Linked DNA regions of Callithrix jacchus. The protein of the gene in region 2 interacts with the protein of the main gene of each other region in a pairwise test. Links are inferred from orthologs where the notes say so. Each region holds a gene or a part of one and is shown on either strand. Other genes may lie near its edges.

Region 1 (4,927 bases), on a different chromosome or scaffold from region 2:
GTCAACTAAGTTATATTTAAATAATTAGTTACTAATTAAACACTTAAAAGAATGGATCACTACTAGATATGTTTTTCTGCCCAAATCCCACAATATCAATTTATAAAACCTCAAACTTTGTTTCTACTCATTCAGAATGTTCTATTATTAATTAGTGATGAATTCTGCTACCTAAGAACATGCCCTAAAACTCAATTTGTTTACTTACCTACAATGTAATTGTAGATTAACTACATTAGGCTGGCTACATTACGCACAGCTATCTCTGATTCTTTGGAAGAGTCAAGGGGAAAGGGGAAAGGAGAAAGGGAGATCACACCATTTGCAACTTCTCCAAGTTGCTGGCCCCAAAACCAGACTGTCGCCCGTTGTTAGCTGTGTTGATAAGGGATATACAGTCCAAACAGAAAAGGGATTGTGCATGCTTCCTATTACCAGTAAACGGAAGAGCTGGGAGCAAACAGTAAGAGGAAGTGAGAAATTACTTTGGCCATTTCTTGCTCCAGCTGCAGCCTCCGGTTGACCTTCTGCTGGTAGGTTTTGATGACATTCTCCACGTGCTGCTCCATGAAAAACTTAAAGGCGTATGGCGAGTAGCTCTTGATGCGTGACTCCCTCTTCTCTTCGTCTCTGCTGTTTTTGCGGACGGGAACGGGAGAGGTCTGGATCTGCTTTTTATCCTTCCCGCCTTTGTCCGCCTTGGTGCTTTTCCGGCTCTTGTCGCCACCGTCGGGCTCGCTGGGGCCTCCACGGAGGCTCTGCTCCACGCCCGCACACAGGCTGTCCAGGTCGTACTGCTCAGACTTGCTGCGCAACAGCAGGTGCTTCGGGTAGGGCGGCGGCGGGCACCTCCGGTCTGGGCCTCCGTACTCCATGTCCAATGGGTAGGCGCCCGCGCCACCCAGCGTCAGGGCGTGCTCCTCCTTGGCATCCAGGCCCTCTGGGGCCGGGGCCGGCACAGGTGCGGGCACCCAGGCAGGGTGCGAGGGCCCCACAGCCGTCTGCGGCTCAGGCCTCAGCACACGCACGCTCTTCACCGGGTGCAGGATGTGTGCGGCCGTGACGGCCGTCACGGTGTTGGAGGCGGGAAGGGAGGGCTCAGCCTTGCCAGGAGCGCCCGACCGTGGCTGGTGGCTGTTGAAAGAGTTGGTCCTGCTGGGCACTGGGCAGTCGGGCCGGAAGGTCCCGTGCGCGCGCGGCGGCGCCTCCAGGCCCGGCTTCTGCAGGGAGTCCCGGCGGGCCAGGGTGGCGGCTGGCCACTGCTGGACGGGGGTGCTGCCCAATTCATACAGGTCCACATTGAGGCTGTTGCGAGAGGGGGTGAGCAGGCTCTGAGGGGGACTGTCGCTGGTGAACACCTGGCTGCGGGAGCCCAGCAAATGCAGCTGGTGGGCCGCTGGGCTGGCCTGCTTGTGGTGTGGGTGTGTCACGTAGATCCCGGAGGTGGGGGGCGGGAAAGCGAGGCTGGTGCCGGGAGGGCCCCCCTGGGCCTTGGCGGGAAGGCTGGCATAGCCCCCAGTCTCCGGCGGCGTCTTGCTCTGGAAGGAGGGGCTGCGCTGTACGCCGTAGCCCAAGGGCTCCGCGGGTACCAGCAGGTGTGGCCGGCCGTAGTGAGCGCCCTGCAGTGGGAAGTGCGCCCCTGCTGCCTCCACGCTGGCGCCGTAGCCCTTGGGCGGGTGCTGGTGCTGATGCTGGTGGCCAGGCCCATGGGGGCCGACTCCGGGGAAGAGGTAGTCCACATACGGCCGCGGCACCTCCTCCAGTGCCGCGGGGCCGTCAGCGCCAAAGCTTGGGCCCTCATAGGGGGCGCCGCCGCTCAGTTGGTGATAGGATGCAAAAGAATCGCGGGTTCCTTCGAAGCTGGGCCTCCGTGTCACAGGGGTTGGCATGAGCCCCTTTCCTGCAGTGGAAAAAAATGGGAAGACAGCATCAAAGTGGGTGTGATCAGTGGATTCTGGTACCTTCAGGCTGGTCCCCACTCTAGCGCTGCCCTCAGGGCTGGGGGTCTTGAACCCTGGGCCCTGATGCGCTGCATTCTGCCCAGCACAGGGTCAGTGGGCTCCCCTCTGCCCTGCCAGTCACCCTAATGTGTTAGGGCAGTGGGCGCAAAAGGGCACGCAGGGAGGCCAAGGACAGAAAAGAAGACAGCATCCCAGTCCTGAGGTGCATCCTTAACCCCTGGGGACTGTACCAGGGTCACTCTCCTGTCAGGCTAGGGAGCTGCACAGTGCCAGCTTTGTTTTCAAAACCTTATCATGCCCAAATTGTGGGAGGCTGAGTTTACCACCGCACCATTCCCAGAGTGCTGTTCCCTCACACAAAGGGCAGGACTGTATCCACTGTGCAGCGGCTGCTCCACTTTTCTTTCACCTCTTTTCCAAATTAAAACATTTTCTAGGTTTTTTGGGGGTCTGTATTAAAACAAAGCAACATATACACAACACTAACAACCACACAAAACCCCTCTAACAAATATCCAAATTGATTTCATCTGCTGCTACCTTAATCCTGACTTCCATTTTGAACACCTCCTCTGAAACAGACACCAGAAGGAAGGACGAAGGCTCCTTTCACTTCTTTAGGCCAACTGCTCTCTGCTTGGCTCGACTTGGCAGAGGGCGCCACAAGGTGGAAAGGCTGTGCCTTGCCTATAGGGAGACCACACCTGATACCTAGCAGAGTAAAGGCCCTGACAGCCTGGCACTGACCAGAGGTCACAGGCACACTAAGGCTTGGTTTTCCCTGGGCTCAGAAGATGTCAGTGAATACACACACCAAAGGCAAGTGCAGAGGGAAATCTGCAGGGAACATGGGGCCTGGCTTTCCCTTTGAGCTGTGCTCTAAGACCTCAAAACTGGAAGAATCCTGACATGGATGGCCAGCTGCAGCTGTTTAAGGAAGTTTCTTCTCTTAAAAAAAGAAAACAGAAATGTGTGTCTTCTTAACAAGGAATATTCAACTTACAAAAGTGAGATTTTTCTCACTTGCCACTTGAAGTAGGTTTCCCATAAAATAGGTAAAGCTCTTGCTAATTATTATAATTTTTCTTTTTTAAATAGAGATGAGGTCTCCCTGTGTTGCCCAGGCTGGTCTCTAACTCCTGTCTCCATCCTCTGGCCTTGGTCTCCCAAAGAGTTGGGATTACACAAGACAAAGCCAGACCAGACCAGACCAGATCAGACAGTCTTGGGATTACAGGCTTGAGCCACTGCGCCTTTATCACACCCCAGGGGCCTCAGGTACCAATCACAGATCACAGGGCCCATGTGCTCCATCCTGGGAAGGTAACATTCGCCCATAGTCAATGAAAAGCAGGGCTTTGGTGCGGTGCCTCAGGCCCTTCAAAGGGGATGCTGAGGGGGGCTCAGCTCTGCCCATGCTGCCTGCCGTCGAGCAGCCACTCTCAGAGGCTATGATGTAAGAGAGGTGTGTTTTAGAATTGAGGAAAGAAGCCACCCTTGTCAAAGATCCCTCCACAGGCCCAAGAGAAAAGTGAAAAGACCATTTTTACTCCCACTTTGCTGACTTTTTTGATCTTTCATAAAACAAGCACACACCTTCCCCTAGGTAGGAAGTACCAAGGTAATTTCACAAGCGCCGGGCGCATCCCCTGTTCTACCACCTGGGGCTGCCCCTACCAGGGCCTGGCTCTCTCAGGGCAGGGCAGGCTCAGCTTGCCTGTTACCAGAATGAGGCAATGTGCCAGGAAACTGATTCTGGCCAGGCCAGGTCGGACCTCTCTGCCCATGGTTTTGTGTCCTAAAGCCACAAACCGTCTTCGCCCACCATGCTGTGGGCCTGGGCTCACCTGGGGAGGTCTGCTTAATGACCCGAACAATCTGCTCATTCCTTGGGTCCAGGTAGCCCATCTTGCTGATGTACTCCAGGGCGGCCTCGATGCTCCTGCTACCAGTTTGCTTGAGAGCTCGGCCAGCCATCTCCTGGGAGGGAAGCAAAGGAGAGGGAAGTACACGTCATCCTAAAGCAAAGCTGCCAGGGACTCCCGTCCCCAGTCTGTGCTGCAACACTTTGCCTCTGTCACTGCTGAGAACCTGTGAAGCACTGCAGGAGACCCTCAGAATGAGTGCAGGTGGCTGTGTGTCCTGCAAGTGCTTGATGACAAAAGCCTAGCATAAGCCACACCACAGACTATTTGGCCTTCTGTTAAGGACATATGGGAATTTTGATGATAGGCAGAGATTTCGATTCTGCTTCTCCTTAGAAAAGTTTTGTGGTTGGACTGGTGAGTTCAGGATGAACCTAAAACTAGAAACATTTACGGGGAAGAACTGTGGGAGCCAGGGAACCTGGCTTTAACCTCAGCTCACCCCCAGGCTAACTTTGGGATGAGGAAACCTGTCCCCAAGGAGAGGGTGCAGCTGCCCAAGAGTCATATATTACATGCCTACTATTTACAATGCCCTGTGCTGGCTACAGCAGCAGAGGACTGGTCCTTAGAGATCTGACTGGTACAAGAAAGAAAATACAGACACAACAGGAGCCCAAGGAGCCATGCTGGCACAGGACAGGTCCCTCAAACTGCTTGTGGGATGAACACAAGACAGAGGCTGGTGGCCACCACCAGAGAGGGCAAGTAAAATGGATGAGGGCCACAGGAGAAAGCCTCCTTCCATCCGAAGGACGAGGTGGAAGGCTAAGGTGGCATGGCTAAGCTGTGCCAGACTTTGAGCCCTGGAGAGAAAAGGCATTCCTGGCAGATGGGACAGCCAGAGCAGAAGCCTGGGGAAAGATGGGCTCATAGCAGCAGCACACCAGGATGGATGGAGATGTGGAGAGGGATGCACAAGATGGGGGCCAGGCTCTCCGGGGTTTTGTTCCATCTGCAGGCAGTCAAGGAAGCTTTTAAACAGGGACACACACGTCAGCAGGTCAGGCTGGGGACAGTTTTGGGTGCAGAGCTGGAGGC
Region 2 (4,927 bases):
TGAGGTAGGGAGTGAGTGGTGGAGTTAAAAATCTTTGGGCCGGGGACAGTGGCTCATGCCTGTAATCCCAGCACTTTGGGAGGCTGACGTGGGCGGATCACTTGAGGTCAGGGGTTTGAGACCAGCCTGGCCAACATGGTGAAACCCCATCTCTACTAAAAATATTTTTTTAAAAAATTAGCTGGGCATGGTGGCGTGTGCCTGTAATCCCAGCTACTCGGGAGGCTGAGGCAGGAGAATTGCCTGAACCCAGGAGGCAGAGGTTGCAGTGAGCTGAGATCGCGCCATTGCACTCCAGCCTGGGTAACGAGTGAAACTCCGTCTCAAAAAAAAAAAAAACAAACAAAACAAATTAGCTGTAATCCCAGCTACTTAAGAGGCTGAGGCAGGAGAATCACTTGAACCCGGGAAATGGAGGTTGTACTGAGCCAAGATCAAGCCCACCACACTCCAGCCTGGGTGACAGGGCAAGATTTCATCTCAAAAAAAGAAAAAATCTTTGAGCTAAATCTCCAGACAGCACAGGCAGCTGCAGAAACCCACCAGGAAGCTGTCCAGACCCAAGCCTTTTGTGCAGCTTGACTCAAGGTCCCGTCACAGTGATTTTTCTCACTATGTATGAGACATGGAGAGCTGACTCCAAATACTACTGCTCTGCCCACTGATGGCTGGACTACTGATGTGCATCACTCTCCACTCCTCTCACCCTGCAGTGGGTCATGGCCCTGTGCTGGGGCAGAGGAGAAAAATGGGCTGCCTTCTTTAGGACAAACCCTCACTCCAGCTCAGCTAGGGTTCTGTGATTAGAATGCACAGTTGAGGTGTGTTTACTTTATTCTTTGTTGTTTCTGTTTTTTGAAGCAGGGTCTCACTCAATTGCCCAGGCTGGAGTACAGTGACACAAAAATACTAGCCACAAAGACAAAGATTGTAGCCACAATCTCCCAGGCTCAAAAGATCCTCTTACCTCAGCGTCCTGAATAGTTGGGACTACAGGCACACGCCACCACATCCGGCTATTTTTTTTCTTTTTTTTTTTTTTTTTTTTTTTTAGTAGAGATGAGGTCTTGCTATGTTGCCTCATAAGCAACATAAGCTGGTCTCAAACTCCTGAGGATCATCAAGTGATCCTCCTACCTTGGCCTTCCAAAGTGCTGGGATTGCAGTATGTAAGCCACTACACCCAGCCTGATTTTACTTTAAATGAGAGCCCCTCCTTAGAGTCCCTCAGCTGTTCCTAGCCCCTGGCCATCTGCCTTCAGTTGCCCCTGCTTCTGTCGTATCCTTAGGACTACACTGAGTGCTGAGGCACTAGGCAGGTAGCAGAAGCCAAATGATTCTGCCTTTGCCTTATCTACTCATAGTGTGCAGAACGAGAAGCAGTGGTGGGTTCAGGGCAGGCACCAGCTGGGCAGCTATATATATGTACATCAGTGACGGGGCCAAAGGCAGTCAGTTTCCAAGGACTGCCCCAGAGGCCTTTTTTCAGAGAAGCCCTGGGTTCCTCAAGGGCCCTGTGTCCATGCTGGCCCATCTTGCAGGACGAGCCTGTGGAATGGGAGACACCTGACCTTTCTCAAGCTGAGATTGAGAAGAAGATCAAGGAGTACAATGGCCAGATCAATAGCAACCTCTTCATGAGCTTGGTGAGTTGACTGCTCAGGAAGCGGGTGTGGAGAGGAGGTACCCAGCTGTATGCCTGATACCCAGAGGGTCACAACTGAGGATTCTTGGGTGGTGATACCTCAGGCAGTAATTACCAAGCGGTAATTAGTACATACCCAGCCTAGCCTCAGGTAGACAGAACCCTAGTGCTTCATCTCACCTGGAACCTACTGTCAAGGTTTGGTTTCTTTATTTATTTAGAACAAGGACGGCTCTTACACAGGCTTCATCAAGGTTCAGCTGAAACTGGTGCGCCCTGTCTCAGTGCCCTCCAGCAAGAAGCCACCCTCCTTGCAGGATGCCCGGCAGGGCCCAGGACGGAGTGCAAGTGTCAGGCGCCACACTTCCTTTTACCTGCCCAAGGATATTGTCAAGCACCTGCATGTGTTGTCACGCACAAGGGCACGTGAGGTCATTGAGGCCCTGCTACGAAAGTTCTTGGTGGTGGATGACCCCCGCAAGTTTGCACTTTTTGAGCGGGCTGAGCGTCACGGCCAAGGTGGGCTTCCTACTCCACCCTGCCTCATGTGAGGGTATATACCGTGCATGCAGGGACTGAGCAGCTGGCCTGTCTCTGATCATTACTTCCCCTTCACAGTGTACTTGCGGAAGCTGTCGGATGATGAGCAGCCGCTGCAGCTGCGGCTCCTGGCGGGGCCCAGTGACAAGGCCCTGAGCTTCATCCTGAAGGAAAATGACTCTGGGGAGGTGAACGTGAGTACATAGTTCTTCTTAGTTTCTTGGTTGTCACTGGACGGGGCTGATGGACTGTAGCTACAGTAAGGCTTGGAGGAGGAATTGTGCTGGAGGACAAGCCTTGCAAAGCAGTTTTAGGAGTGTATAGGTATTGTAACTAAAGTGAAGGCTTCCAGACCACTCATGCCAAAGCATAGGGTTGTCCCAAGAGGCCAGGAAGAATTGTCTTGGTGCTTTGATCTTTCCTGGTGTGGAAAATCTTCTGGAGATGCAGGAGTCCATCTAATGACATGAAGGGGCCCCTTCAGGCATTCGACTTTTTACCTGGAAGCTGTGAAGTGGAATTAGACCCAGATTGTGCCTGACCTGTCCACAGGGAACATCTGATTTGGTTACCTCAGTAAGGTGACTGTTTTGTAGGACCCATCTTCCATACAAACTGCTGTCACAGATCCTAGCAGAACTCATTCAGCCAGGAGCCTGACATCAGAAAGCCCAGTCCAACTCGTGTGAACGAACATGAGGTGCTAGTCTTCTCTGAGAAGCTGGCTTGGCCATCCCTTCTGTAGCCTGTATATTCCCCTTTACCCCCTTGCAGTGGGACGCCTTCAGCATGCCTGAACTGCATAACTTCCTGCGTATCCTGCAGCGGGAGGAAGAGGCGCACCTCCGCCAGATCCTGCAGAAGTATTCCTATTGCCGCCAGAAGATCCAAGAGGCCCTGCACGCCTGCCCCCTGGGGTGACCTTGTACTCCCAGGTGGAAGGCGGAGAGCAGGCAGTGCCAAGAGCGTGCTGTGTGAGTGTGACAGGGCCAGTGGGACCTGTGGAATGAGTGTGCATGAAGGCCCTCCTCCACTGGGGGAATGAGCCCAGAGAACAGCGAAGGAGCTTGCCCCCTGTGTCCACCTGTGGGTGTAGCTGGGTATGGCTCTGCACCCCTCTGCCCCTCTGTACTGGGCATTGGTGGGCCAGGGCTACCCTGGGAAGGAGCAGGAGTGGAGCAGACAGAAGTCTCCTCAATTTGTGTCTCAGAAGTGAGAATCTTGGAGACCCTACAAACAGAACAGGGTCATGTTTGCAGGGGTGAGGGCCCTCATCTATAGGGAAGGGTTTTGGATCTTGAATGTGGTCTCAGGATATCCTTATCAGAGCTAAGGGTGGGTCCTCAGAATAAGGCAGGCACTGAGGAAGAGTCTTGGTTTCTCTCTACAGTGCCAACTCCTCATACACCCCGAGGACAGGGAGTACTGGCTCACAGTGCAGCAAGTGCCTTAATGCCTCATAGGAAGAGGATATCCCTGGGCCAGGGTCTGTGTGAATGTGGGCACTGGCCCAGGTTCATACCTCGTTTGCTAATCAAAGCCAGGGTCTCTCCCTCAGGTATTTTCCATGAAGTGTGTGGATGTATGTAATGTGTGGTGGCCTCAGCTGAATGGCTCCTGTGGGGAAAGGGGTCGGGGTGACAGTCATCATCAGGGCCTGGGGCCTGAGAGAATTGGCTGAATAAAGTTTTAAAGATCCTCCTGCTGTTGGACTCTTTTTTTTTACATATAAAGTACAGTAGAGATGGGAGTCTCTCTGTGTTGCCTAGGCTCCTGCCAACTTGGCCTCCCAAAGTGTTGGGTTTACAGGTGTGAGCCACCGTGTCCAGCCTGGACTCTATTATAGGCACAGAGCTGCAGTTGCCCCTCATGCTGCTGGAAGTTGCCAAGGGTGATGGACAGGCCCACAGGTGTCTGGCAAAGTCACCATGGACCAACTTGTGAAGAAGATGTATCCATATATAGTCATCACTCAGCTCCCTGAGGCTCAGGTTCTGTTGGGGACAAGAATGGACTATAGTCAGAACTTAGGGAAACTGACCTGGGCATGATGGCTCACACCTGTAATCCCAGCACTTTGAGTGGCCTAAGCGGGTGGATCACTTGAGGCCAGGAGTTTGAGGCCACCCTGGCCAACATGGCTAAACCCCATCTCTACCAAAAATACAAAATAATTTAGCTGGGCATGGTGGTGGGCATGTCTAGTCCCAGCTACTCGGGAGGCTGAGGCAGGAGAATTGCTTGAACCTGGCAGGTGAAAGTTGCAGTGAGTGGAGATCACAGCACTGCACTCCAGCCTGATGAATAGAGCAAGACTCGGTCTCCAAAAAAAAAAAAACGGCGGGCACAGTGGCTCACACCACACCTGTAATCCCAGCACTTTGGAAGGCCAGGGTGGATCACCTGAAGTCGGGGGTTTTTAAGACCAGCCAGACCAACATGGTGAAATCCCGTCTCTACTAAAAATTAAAAAAAAAAATAGCCGGGCACGGTGGGGGTGCCTGTAATCCCAGCTACTCGGGAGGCTGAGGCCAGAGAATCGCTTGAACCTGGGAGGCAGAGGCTGCAGTGAGCCAAGATCGTGCCACTGCACTTCATCCTGGGCGACAAGAGCGAAACTCCATCTCAAAAAAAAAAGAAAACCAACACACACACACCACGCTCTGGGAGAAGCTATGGCATAACCCATTCACCAAATACTGAGCTGCCATCGCGGACCAGACACTGCTCATGGCACCAAGG
Region 3 (5,510 bases), on a different chromosome or scaffold from region 2:
AGATGCATTTGGGGCAGGGCCGATTGATCCTGATTGACACCATAAGCAGAGAGGAGCCTTCCTGTTGAGCCGTGCTCAAATGGTAGATTTCTGAGAAGAAAAAAAGATTATTGTTCTGTGCCAATGAACTTTGGGGTGGTTTCTTGCACAGCAGTCAATACCTGGAAATCCCTTCCTGCAGTGCTTCCCATAAATGCCAGGACCGATAAAACAGTACTGAAATAATTTGAAGGAGGGACAGATGAGAGAGTCAGGGAAGGAACAGGGGAACAGAGACCTAAGTCTTCTAGGAAGAGGTGTCTTTTTTTAAAAACAGCTTTATTGAGATGTAACTCACATATGTTCACCCACTGAAAGAGTACAATCCAATGCCTTTTGGTATATTCAGAGTTGTAGAACAATTACCACAACCAATTTTAGAACATTTTCATCACTCCAAAATGAAATCTCACACCTTTTAATTAGTCCCTCCAATTTATCTATGCTTCTTTCCCCCAGGCCATAGGCAGCCGCTAATCCACCACAGGCTCTAAAGATCTGCCTATTCTGAACATCTCCAAACCTTCTAAAGTGATGCCATTAAAAGGCACTATAGCAAAGAGCATCATGCAACTTGCATCACACTGAGGGGCCTGGCACAGAAGTGGTGGTGGCATCACGCAGGGCCTGATCCATGGGGTCCAGGGTGACCATGTGGGTCATACAAATGGCATTACATAATATGTCATGCCTGGCTAATTTTTTTGTAGAAAAGCGGTTTCGCCACATTGCCCAGGCTGATCTTGAACTCCTGGGCTCAAGCAATCCTCCTGCCTTGGCCTCCAAAAGTGCTCAGATTACAGATGCACGCCATCACACCCAGTCCCTTGAATACTTGAAGGCAAATACATGGCAAATGATTAATTAATGTTGCTTATTTTATCCTGTTTTGGGCACATGGGATGCCATCCCTGGGTGGCCCTGAAGGGTGGGTGCTCAGGTGTTAAGTTCTGTAGATGGAATATCCCTGGGAAAGGCAAGGCAATTAAAAACAGTGAGAGGTTGCTCTGGTTAAGTTTTCTCCTGTAACTTTCCCCAGGGGTCAACTGGGTAGAATCTGCCATTTTCCTAATATTCATTGATGGTAGTGGCATTCAGAAGCGCAATAGCTGAAGCGAGAACTCACAGTGGAGAGAAAGGTCTGTCTCTCAGGCCCCAGAAGAGGTTAAACATCTGTGGATGTCCAGTTTGGTAGTGCAGGCCCTGAAATCAGACCAACCTGGGTTTAAATCCCCAAACCTATACTCTAAGCTATGTGACCTTGGGCTAGATACTTCACCTCTCTGGCCTTATGAAATAGGAATAATAATAATACCTCTAGGTTGTTAGGAGTATTAAATGAGGTAAGGCACTGAAAACGTGTAGGCACTGTGTTAAATCATTAAATAAATAAAAATGGGGATGACCTTATAGGCTTGACATGGGGGATTAAATGAGATAATATATAAAGGCAAATACATGGCAAATGCTTAATTAATGTTGCTTATTTTTATGTCTGCAAACTGACGTAAAGGGGAGGCCTTTAAGAAAAACAGTGGGGCAATTTGCACGTTGATGCTCTGTAACAAATCCGAGGAGAGAATGTGCAGGGGGCCCGTTGGGACCAGAGTTCAACCAAGTAAGCGGCAGGAAACCACAAATGCCTCCAGGGGTTCTGGGGCAGCACCGCCTCACCAAAATCATACAGAACTTGGTTTGCTAAGAATCGTCAGCTCTTCTCATGGACGCGCTTCATGTATCTTTGTCGGTGAATTGGGGCCCAGGACCCAGGTAGAAGTGCATCGTGTACCGACTATTTCGTGCGCTCCAGTATCGCAGGAAGACAGCGTCGCCGACACCCTAGATACCACCGGACAACGCCGGGAGGCGCCTTTACCACTAGGCGGTTCCGGGTCCGCGCCCGACCGCGCCACTTGACTCGCGCCCCGAACCACGTGATCAGGGCCGTGGCTCCGCCCCGCTCCCGCGGCGCGCTCCGCTTCCGGTAGGGGCGGAAAGCGGAAGTGTGGGTGGGTCTGCAGGGCGGGCATAGGGAGGTCCGCGGGGAGGATGGAGCAGTGAGCGGGTCTGGGCGGCTGCCGGCAGCGCCATGGAGACGGTACAGCTGAGGAATCCGCCGCGCCGGTGAGGGGCCACTAGCTAAGAGGACAGGCAAGGGGGCGGGGGAAGAAAAGGCGGGAACTGGTTGCGGGGAGACACCTGTGTGGGAGTCCCCGGAGCGAAGCGACCCAGCTGATGGGGCACCTGCTGAGTGGGGGGGACGTCTGGTGGGTGAGGGTCCGGGCGAGGGGAGCATCTGCTAAGGGGATAGACTTGGGACCGGTGAGAGGGAACACTCGCTGCGGGGAGACTCTGCTGAGGAACGTGGGGACAAGTTAGGGAGAGTACCTGCTGAGGCCGGGCCACTCTGGGGAAGGCTGTCCACGGAGGTAACGGGGAGAATACCGAAGCAGGGTGAGAACCTGTGAGGGGTCTTTTTAAGGGGGCAGATCGAGAACTGGCCGAGAGGAAGGCCGGGTGGACTTTCTAAGGGTCCCAAGTCCCACTTGAGGGGTGCAGTTTTGGGGATCTGTGGAGAGGAACAGCTTTGCGCCTAAGCCTGAAGGCATGCGAAGAGAGTTTGAGGGTCTAGCAAGGGAGGGGAGGGTGGAGGGCAGCATTTGAGAGGATGCTGTTGGTGGTGACTCCACTGTAGGATGGCATCTTTTATTACTGATGTTCAGAGTGTCTTTCTGATGGTCTTCACGTTCTCCTCAGCCCTTCAGAACCTGACATTGGGAGGTAGGTGAGGAAATAAGAGGATATTTTCGAGATGGGCAGACCGAGGTCCAGAAGAGTTGGGAAACGTGTTTCCTTCTTTATTCCGGGTCACTGAACCCGGCCAGACTGTGCCCTTTTCAGACCTCAGTTGTTTTGTGTATATCAGCGCCAGATCCTAGTGGTACCTGGAATTGCTTTAGGTCAAGATCAGGATGGTGGCTGATCCTAGAAAATCTGAACTCCTGGATTTCCCCTCTGGACATTTCGGGTCGTTTACCACTCTGCCACATCTGAAGAAAAGTAGGGAGTAGAGACAGAAGGAGTCATGCTTCTCTGAGGTGCAGTGTGGTTACTTCTGTTTCATAGAGACGTCTGACTTCCTGCAGCAGAATGAACTGTAAAGAAGGAAGTGTTTAGGGTGTGGAAGTGCAGGACAACCGAGAGGTGAAGAGAAGGGATTGACTATCTGGACAGCACTCTTGGGGGTTGTTCGAGCTTAGGGGTGTTTGAAGTGCACAAACATTGCAGAAGGCAAATAGGTGGTTGGGATGGGCTTCGGATTCACCCTAGCTTAGTGTGCTGAGACTGTAGTAGTAATGGTTAATTACACTCATATTGCACTTACCAGGTGCCAGGCACTCTTCTAAGTGCTTTCCATGTCTCCTACTGAAGCATATGAAATTGCTGATATTTGACCATTTTTGAACCATAAAATGGTAACTTCATATGGTTCAATTTATTGACTCATTTGAACCTCACAACAATCCTGTGCGGTAGATATTCCTATATGTCTGTTTTACAGATGATAAAACTGAGATACAGACAGGGTAGTGATTTGCTTAGAGAAGTCATAGCGAGTAAGAGGCAGAGCTAGGATTTTAATATCTGTGGGGTCTGGTCCAAAGTCCATGCTTTTAACTGCCTCACTCTGATCCCTCTCTGAAAGTACCCCTGTTTCACAGGTCTCTGTGTATGTTAGCAAATATTTGCTATAGTACCACAGTGATCCAGTTACAAATGCACACTGGTTATGTTTCTTTCTGAACTATGTTTGTTCTTTCTCCTTGGTTTCTTTCTCTGAGGCCTTGTTTTAATTGAAAAGGGGATTAGGAATCTGAGTTTTGTTTCCCCCTTTGACTTGTGTTACATAATCTTGGGCAAAGGACTAAACTTTCTTGGCATGCTCATTCCTGTACCTTTTGGATTTAAAAAAAATGTATTAAAAGTGCAAGAGAAGAGCATTACAGGACTGAGTTCTTAAGTGACTGGTGATTCCCTGCTCATTATAACTAGTAGACTGCCTAATTTGAAGCAGATCAATTTTATTATCATTTCTATCAGTTTTTAGGACATGACAAAGTATCATGGACTGGGTGGTTTAAGCAACAGAAATTTATTTGCACACCTTTCTGAAGGTTAGAGATCTGAAATCAAGGCATTGTCAGAGTTGTTTCTTTTGAGGCCTTTGCTTGACTCGTAGATGGCTATGTCTCCATGTTCTTCCCTCTGTACTTGTCTGTGTCCTAATCTCCTCTTATAGGAACACTAGTCATACTGGATTAGGGCATGCCCATATGACCTCATTTTATCTTAATTACCTCTTTAAAGGCCTTATCTTCAAATACAGTCACATCCTGAAGTGGTGGGTGATAGGACTTCAACATATGAATTGGGTTAAGCTGGGGACACAGTTTTATTATCATTAAAAATTTTGTCAGCTTATCATATATATTTGTTGTAATCCATATCAAATTCTGTGTGGAAAAAGAGATAGTTATACATAAAATGAACTTTATGGGAGTTCTGAAATGGGAGAAAGCTTTGAGAATTAGCCAAACCTATGACTACTTCATAGACACCATTACTTGTATTTGGAAAGATGTTGGTGTCTTTCAGAAATTCAGATGGCATGTGTTTCCAACAACCCCAGTGCAGGAAATGCCTTTTGTGTTCATGAGTTTGACATTTGTATGTATGTGATTAAGTGAATGATGACAGATTGGTGTCTCATATAGGAATTCATAATTTTAAAAAGTGAGTTGTTATTAGATAATGGTATAGTGGAAGGTGTAGAGTGCATTCCTGGGATGCTGGCCATCTACATGGCCATCTGACTTAGGAGAGGAGCATCCACCAGTATTTGGTCCATGAATGTTTTGTTGACCAGGCTTGTTCATTTATGAGCAAGTTGGAGACTGTCTAGGACCTGAGGAAGTCCCAGGTAAGAGAACTGCGTTATCAGAGTCAGACTATTTTGGTAATAGTGTTTGTTCTGTAAGAGTCATGGTATAAAATATCATTATGAGTCACTTACCAAAATATTTTTTATAGAAATCTTATTTGTTGATAATTTAGTAATATTTTTAGGTGAAATTCTGTTTTATTGTGGTAATTCACAAAGATTGCTGATGACATTCTTGATTCTTTTTTTTTTGAGACGGAGTCTTACTCTGTCGCCAGGCTGGAGTGCAGTGGTGCAATCTCGGCTCACTGCAACCTCCGCCTGGGTTCAAGCGATTCTTCCGCCTCAGCCTCCCAAGTAGCTGGGACCACAGGCACGTGCCACCACACCCGGCTAATTTTTGTATTTTTAGTAGAGACGGGGTTTCACCATGGTCAGGATGTTCTCGATCTCTTGACCTCGTGATCCGCCCGCCTCGGCCTCCCAAAGTCCTGGGATTACAGGCATGAGCCACCGCGCCCGGCCAAAA

What was found.
Region 1: the proteins of RASSF1 (region 2) and LATS2 come close enough for resonance energy transfer, tested with the Homo sapiens proteins (2 studies listed by BioGRID). The link is inferred for Callithrix jacchus from reciprocal best matches to the Homo sapiens genes RASSF1 and LATS2.
Region 3: the proteins of RASSF1 (region 2) and STK4 interact in binary tests that used the Homo sapiens proteins (3 or more experiments, as listed by UniProt). The link is inferred for Callithrix jacchus from reciprocal best matches to the Homo sapiens genes RASSF1 and STK4.

What each region holds. Positions count from the first base shown.
Region 1 is NC_133506.1:140,656,723-140,661,649, forward strand, and holds part of LATS2 (serine/threonine-protein kinase LATS2), read right to left. Parts: intron 3,942-4,927; coding exon 3,809-3,941; intron 1,901-3,808; coding exon 486-1,900; intron 1-485. UniProt on the Homo sapiens protein: Negative regulator of YAP1 in the Hippo signaling pathway that plays a pivotal role in organ size control and tumor suppression by restricting proliferation and promoting apoptosis.
Region 2 is NC_133516.1:32,904,869-32,909,795, reverse strand, and holds the end of RASSF1 (ras association domain-containing protein 1), read left to right. Parts: intron 1-864; exon of another isoform or gene 865-1,541; coding exon 1,542-1,646; intron 1,647-1,866; coding exon 1,867-2,164; intron 2,165-2,263; coding exon 2,264-2,379; intron 2,380-2,959; coding exon 2,960-3,106; 3' UTR 3,107-3,883; downstream 3,884-4,927. UniProt on the Homo sapiens protein: Potential tumor suppressor. Required for death receptor-dependent apoptosis. Mediates activation of STK3/MST2 and STK4/MST1 during Fas-induced apoptosis by preventing their dephosphorylation.
Region 3 is NC_133506.1:40,326,605-40,332,114, forward strand, and holds the start of STK4 (serine/threonine-protein kinase 4), read left to right. Parts: upstream 1-2,063; 5' UTR 2,064-2,128; coding exon 2,129-2,163; intron 2,164-5,510. UniProt on the Homo sapiens protein: Stress-activated, pro-apoptotic kinase which, following caspase-cleavage, enters the nucleus and induces chromatin condensation followed by internucleosomal DNA fragmentation.